Mus musculus: one gene and its partner. The main gene of each other region encodes a partner of the protein of the gene in region 2 in a complex. Links are inferred from orthologs where the notes say so. Each region holds a gene or a part of one and is shown on either strand. Other genes may lie near its edges.

Region 1 (3,653 bases), on a different chromosome or scaffold from region 2:
GCTGATACCCTTTACCAATCTGAGCAAGTCTTTTTATATTTTTAGTTTGTTGAGGTTTTTAATATTAAATGTTTGTTATTATCTTAAGCATGCTAAGTGTGTAGATATGTGTGTTTTCCATATGAAGTCTACAATCTGATAGGTAATTGCCATGCTAATTCTACCCTAACTTGGATCTGCATTGACCTCAGCCACATTACTTTTAAAAAGCAATGTTAAATTTGAAAGACTTAAAAACACTTTTTTTTTCTTAAATACATGTATATGTGTTAGATATGTGTCTCTAGGCCAGTAAGGGTTGCTAAGTATCCTCCTCTGTCATTCTCCAAGATATTATTAAATGAGGTCTCTTGCTGGACATAGATCTTGCCAGTTGGCTAGACTGACTGGGCAGCAAGCTCCATAGTCTCCCATCTCCACTTTCCAGGTCTGGAGTTACTGGCATGAGCTTGTTGTGCCAGGCATTTTATGTAGGTGTTGAGAATCTGAACTTAGCTTCAGCACAGCAAACAATTTATCAACTGAGCTATCTGCTCAATCTTGACCTCATTTTTCTTTTTTAAGAAAAATTACTGCTTAAAAGATAAGAAAGATAAGGAGCTCTTTTTTTTTTTTTTTTGTATGTAAAGTGGACGGTTCTTCCAATTAATATTATATTAACCTTGTGGATGATAGATATAATTCATTGATTCTTTAGATGTCTAAAAATCCATTTTAGTGATTAATGGGAATCAACTATTACTCATATAATTCCTATATTGTATTATAGATAATACTGCTTTAATCTTCAAAATAGGCCTGACAGAAAAGTGTTAATTCTCTATTTAGATGTTTAGATCTGAAAAAGACTTGATCTTTTAATGTTGACTTAAATGACTCCTTTGACACTAATTCCATTATTTGTGCTTCATCTAAAATAATAAACATGAATCATTAACTTTATCCTTTTATATGTGTTTAAAAAAATAACCCTCACTATATCTTTGGTACTTTTAGACTCTGAAAGCAGAGTCTAGACTTCTAGACTCTGTCTTGAAGCAGCAAAGAATGCTACAGTCTTTATTCCAGCACATTTGTTCAGGTCTTAGACAGCTACCTAAGGATTGTCCTTGAATGATTACTCTAGTAGCACCAGATCCAGAAAAGGAATAATGGTTTTAAGGTTTTTCTTCTTTTAATTCATGTATTTATTTTTGCAGTTATGGTGACAGAAACCAGGGTCTGAACATATATACTAGGCAGTATGTCTGTCATGGAACTACATCCCTGGGTCTAATTCTTTATTCTATAGTCTAGTTAAATGTCGTTTCTTACACATAATTAAATACTGGCTTGTAGATTGAACTAGTTTTGTTTTGTAGTTTGTTATTTGAATTTATATTTCTGCCTTTTTTGCAGTGACTTTTAAGCTGTGAATAGTAACCTTGTAGTGTTTCTGTGCTCAGAATCTAATGGATATTTAAACCTACACAGATCTCCAAGCTTAGTTTCCTGTGGAATCTTGACCTTTAGGGCAGGTGGTCCAGACTGATTGTTATGACGCCAAGACATTTTAGGAGAGACTGTGTGGTTGCACTGGCACTGTTAGGTTAGATTGCTTTGCCCGTGCACTGAAACAGCTTTTGAGTTGGTGATGTAAAGAAGTAGTTCTGCCATTCACTGACGTGACATCTCATTATTTACCTGACACTAGATAAAAGAAGAATCTATTTTTATAACTCAGAAAAATGGTGCCAGAGCAGTTAGTATTTAATTCCTGGCTGCTACAAATAAGCTTTAACATTCACTTTTATTACATGTGTAATATTTTTATTACATCTGTTCATCTTATGTTTATCAGGTACAAAGAATTTTACGTGAAAGATTTTGTCATCATAGTCCACATAGCAACCTCTTTGGAGTGCAAGTACAATACAAGTGAGTCTGATATCAGCTCCTCCATTATAAGTTCATTTTCATTTCCTCTCTGAGTTTTGAAAAGATAATATGCATTATCTTAAGTTATGATGAAGTTATGTTTTATATATAGAAACAATATTGTAAAACAGGAACACATGTAAGTACTTAATGTCTCATAATGTTATTGATAAGGACATATGGTCCCTAATACTTCTTTTGTGTTAATTACCTGCTATTATTGAAAGAATTCTGGTACTTAACACCTGGTAGCCAGCTCAGGTGATAAGGACCAAAGTGCTAGCAAAAATAATTCTCTCTAAGCCTAGAGGACCTAAAAGTTAGCTTAATTGTCCCTTATCTTCTCCCACTATGAGACCAAATGAATTCCCACTTTCCTGGATTTCCTTTTCTGGTCTCTAGAGAATCTCTAGCGGCTAATGTTCTTTTCTGTGTATTTTCTATATGCAGGAAAATTTAGATCCTTTGGGCTAGAGAGCCAAAAGGGTAAAATTAATACTGACTTTCAGGTTTAGCCTTTTAAAAGTATGACCCAATAAATTATTTCACCTTTTTTTTTTATTAATTCTGCCTTTCCGTATCATTTTAGGCATTTGATTGAGCTACTCAAAAGAACTGCTATCTATGGAGAAAGCAATTCTGTACTCATTGTTGGACCACGAGGATCAGGAAAGACCACAGTAAAAGACTTAAGTTTCTCATATATCATTGCTTTAATACACATTTGAAGTTTTTATATCAGATACACTAAAAATGTTTTTCGTTTTATTGTCTTGCAACATTCTTTGTTTTCTATTCCTTTTAAATGACAAAATCCATGCAGGTATTCTACAAAGTTAGGTTGTGGTATGGGAGTTGATCATGCTTTTTATGTTCTCTGCTTGGTATATTGCCCTATACTGGGGCAGGGATTTCAATCCTCCCATCTGCCACTGAGAGTATAAGGTCCATGCTTCCATACATACATGGGCTCTGAGGGTCCCAACTCAGGACTTCACGGGTCATCATCATACAGTGATTCCCCACAAGCATTTTTACCCCTTTTTACAGTTTTCACAGTTTTACAATTTATTTTTAACCTTCAAACAAATCTTTCATGTCAAGGTCATCAGTATTTATGTCATATTTCTCTTCTTCTGACTTAGTTAATCTCAAAAATTCTTCTCCCTCTCATCTGTTCCTTTTTACAATATACAAAACAAATACATCAACATTTGAATGTATTACTATTAAATTTTAATGTGCTAAGTTGTATAAATTGTATTTTTCTAGTATTCTGTAATAGCAAATTAATATTTTGTTCAGGCATATTATTATACCTTAAAAATAGTTAAGATAGTAAATTAAAACTGTTTCTATTTTTTAAAATAGTACATGTTGGTTCTATATTATGTAAGATGAAGAATTTTTATTTATACTACCATTTCCATTTAAAGAACATAACTTGGTAATTGACAACTTTATTACTGTTTCAAGAATTTATACATTTCTTATAAGATGTCTTACTCTAGCCTGCTTTGGTCCTCCTGCTTACTTGGTATAATTTCCAATTCTTTGCCATTTGTTGTTGTTTGGTTTTTATAATTTTCTTTTGCTTTAATTTAACAACTTTTTTCAACAGAAGAACTATGTAAAATACATTTGTGGTTTTGATTGTTTTCCTTAATGTATCTACTGCCTGGGGTTATAGGCTTCCTCACAGGTGTTTTTGTTTTTGTTTTTGTTTTTCCTCTCCT
Region 2 (3,653 bases):
AGCCATCTTGTAGGTGCAGACAATGACCCACAGTCCTCTGGAAAAGCAGCCAGGGCTATTAACTTCTGACCCATCTCTCTAGCCCCAAAAGTTTTTGTGGACTTTGACAACTGTCATATTGCTCTTGACAATAGCCACTAAACTTAGACTATAACTGCTATAATGTTTCTGTGTAATAGCAGCATGATTACTACTGACTGCCACGCAAATCCATTCTCAGTTCCATTAAGAAACGTTTGTGATGGTTGTATTGCGTAGTAATGACAACCTGTATGTTCACCTATGAACTGCTACTACACTTTGCTACACACAGATAGCAATCTGATTTATTGACATGTTAGGAAAAAGTCTGTCACTTTGAAATTAATTATAGTCAAACGCAGTTGCCTTTGTGTGGCTATACTTTTGGTTAAAAAAAAATCTGCTAGTATAAGGTTTGATTTTCAGATGTTAAGCATCACTGTAGACCATTGAACACTAACTAAATACAAAATTTCTCTGTATTTCCAAAAAGAAAAATCTTCATTTTGTGTTTTTTTGTTTTTTGTTTTTTGTTTTTGTTTTTTGTTTTTTGTTTTTTGTTTTTTCGAGACAGGGTTTCTCTGTGCAGCCCTGGCTGTCCTGGAACTCAATCTGTAGACCAGGCTGGCCTCGAACTCAGAAATCAGCCTGCCTCCTCTACCTCCCAAGTGCTGGGATTAAAGGCGTGCACCACCACGCCCGGCTCCATTTTGTGTTATTTTATAGTACATAGCTTGCTACTTTTTACTAATTTGGATTAGTAGGGAGAAAAAAATTTTATCTGGTAAGAAAATGGTACATTTTTTGGTATCTTCTAGTGGAAGACAAAGGGTTATATATTTAATATGCGTTATTTGAAGATTAGGAATTTAATGGAAGTTTGGTAGACAACTTTGATTTAGAGGGTAGTTTGAGGATGGGAGTGGTGGTTCTTGAGAGAGAAAGGCAGGCAGATCTCTGATATATATTTTTTTTAATTTCTACTTTTATTTTTATTTTTTGGCTAGATAGCCAGTCAGAGATAGCCAGTCAGGTTTAGCGGATGAGACCCTCTCTCAAACAAACAGGCATTGTAATACAAATTGCTTTTTGGTGTTTTCAACTTTAAATAAATACGGTTTATGATTTGGTTGGCATTTGACTGTAGAAAAAAATATAGCTCTGATTGCTTCATATTTATTGTGTCACAGTATAATTTTTAGCCTAGCTATTTATTTCATGTTCACGAGGAGGGCCGACCAAGAACTCTGACTTCCATCTTGTCTCTTTCAGCTACTTCTTACACCTCAGTTTCCCTTTAAACTAAGTAAAAAGGCATTACAGGTTCTGACCAACATCTTTTTGTATCATGATTTCTCAATTCAAAGCTTCATCAAAGGAATTAAGGTAAGAAAATCTGAAATTGATGAATTTGAAAGTGTGCTGTCTAATTCTAATTAGTTAACATTATTTCAGATTGAGTAGTGTGATAACTAAGGCATTTTAGTAGCAAGATTTAGAAAAAGGAAATTGCATTTTTTTTCTAGGTTTTACCTTTCCTTTATTATGCTGAAGTCACCTATAGAAGACAGAATTAGGATTGTCAGTAATGGATGCATTCTAGCTAGTCTTAACCATTGAGTGTGGCAGAGAGGGAAAGGACTTATTTTTGTTTAGGACTTGATGAAATTGTGGTGTCTTTTTACCTAAGAAATGCCATTAACCTTTGATGGGCCAGAGAGGTAACTCTTTAGCTTTGTGTCTTGGTGTCTTTTTGAGTTGGTTAAATGATAATATTAATTACTTTTCTTGACAACTCCCTAAGTTGTCAAAGTATAGTCATTGTGAGTATATGGCAGTTGTCAGTGTCATTAAGACTTATGCGTTTTAACCTTTATATGTAAGTTACATATGTATATGTTATAACGTTTATGTGTAAGTGTCATGGTTTGTATATTCTTGGACCAGGGCGTGGCACCATTTGTAGGTGTGGCCTTGTTGGAATAGGTGTGACTTGGTTGGAGTAGGTGTGACACTGTGGATGTGGGCTTAAGACCCTCACCCTAGTTGCCTGGAAGTCAGTCTTCCACTAGCAGCCTTTGGATGAAGATGTAGAACTCTCAGCTCTGCCTGCATCATGCCTGCCTGGATGCTGCCATGCTCCCACCTTGATGATAATGGACTGAACTTCTGAACCTGTAAGCCAGCCCCAATTAAATGTTGTCTTTTGTAAGACTTGCCTTGGTCATGGTGTCTGTTCGAAGGAGTAAAACTGTAACTAAGACAGAAGTTGGTACCAGGAGTGGGGTATTGCTGTGAGAGGCCTGACCATGCTTTTATTTGAAAGAATGTGGATTTTGGAACTTTGGATTTGGAATACAGTGGAATGCTTTAAATGGGGCTTAATGGGTCATCATAGTAGGAATATGGAAGACTTTGTTGCTGGGAATAATTTGAACTATGTTGACCTGGCCCAAGAGATTTCAAAGGAGAAGAATTTCAGAATGTGGTATAAAGACTATTTTTATGGTATCTTGGTGAAGAATGTGACAACTTTTTGCTCTTGTCTGAAAAGTCTGCCTGAGGCTAAGGTGAAGAGACTCAGATTAATTGCATTGACAAAGGAAGTTTCAAAAAAGCCCAGCAAAGACTTTGTTCTCTGGTTAAGTCTTATGAAGAGAAGTTTGAACAAGCATAGCAAGCTTAGAAAGGAAAAATATAAAATATATAGTTCTACTCTTAAAGGGGTACCAAGAAGTAAAATGGAGCAAAATCCTGTGTTCTAGGAGATAATAGATTAAGGGTATGGGATCTTGGAGCAAGATCCTACCCAGCTAAATTTAGATCCAGGCATGGTGGTACACACTTTTAATCCCAGGAGACAGGCATGCTGATCTCTGCGTTCAAGGTCAATCTACAGAGCAAGATCCAGGACAGCCAGGTTTAGGCAGTGAAGGAGATGGAAAACAGAAAGCCAGTGATAATGTAATAGTACAAGGGGATCATTTTCTAGTTCCTGCAAGCAGCAGAACTTGGCAGCTTCAGCCATGTGGCTCTGGCTCTAGAGTTAAGAATAGAAGAAACTACTGGGACAATTTATGCTGGGTAGCTGGAGCTAAGAAATTAGCAGTGATTAAGAAGAGACCAGCATCACTGAGGTGAAATCTGGGAATTGTTTTCTGGGAGCGCAAAGAAGCTGTGTTCCAGAGATAGCCAAGTTTGTACCTGGTGCTGCAGTTGGACTTGGTAATGTGTAAGAGTCACCCAGGTGGTACTGGTTTTGAAGGCATGAAGATGTCATGAAGAACAGCTGAGGCTTGGCATTGTGAGAGGTCATGGAAGGCCATTGGAGAAGGTGCAGCCTCAGTTGTAGTTGATGGCCCAGGACTGAAGGGGTCATACAAAAGATTTGAGGTGTGGCAACATGAAGAGAACCTATGAAAGGCTATTGGTGAAGTTGAGTTGGAGTGGAACACCCCAGTGTATTGGAGATGTCAGTACCATAGGATGATCACCAAGAACAACAGCCGTAGTGGAGTGGATCAACCTGAGCTTAGAGTGCTACAGAGGGCAGAGCTGGAGAAGTGATGCCAGCCCTTAAGAGGAGTTGAAAAGATCAAGTGGAATCCCAGACACTGAAACAAGAAGCTGTA

The links.
Region 1: the proteins of Orc3 (region 2) and Orc4 are in contact, whole or in part, in a cryo-EM structure (PDB 7JPO), measured with the Homo sapiens proteins. The link is inferred for Mus musculus from reciprocal best matches to the Homo sapiens genes ORC3 and ORC4. Residues at the interface, in NP_036513.2 of Homo sapiens: Thr227, His260, Arg261, Leu262, Leu263, Pro264, His265, Ala266, Ser269; in NP_001177808.1 of Homo sapiens: Pro370, Lys374, Glu377, Gln381, Ser392, Gly393, Asn394, Ser395, Gln396, Arg397.

What each region holds. Positions count from the first base shown.
Region 1 is NC_000068.7:48,935,716-48,939,368, reverse strand, and holds part of Orc4 (origin recognition complex subunit 4), read left to right. Parts: intron 1-1,840; coding exon 1,841-1,917; intron 1,918-2,506; coding exon 2,507-2,597; intron 2,598-3,653. UniProt on the Homo sapiens protein: Component of the origin recognition complex (ORC) that binds origins of replication. DNA-binding is ATP-dependent. The specific DNA sequences that define origins of replication have not been identified yet.
Region 2 is NC_000070.6:34,590,815-34,594,467, reverse strand, and holds part of Orc3 (origin recognition complex subunit 3), read left to right. Parts: intron 1-1,293; coding exon 1,294-1,407; intron 1,408-3,653. UniProt on the Homo sapiens protein: Component of the origin recognition complex (ORC) that binds origins of replication. DNA-binding is ATP-dependent. The specific DNA sequences that define origins of replication have not been identified yet.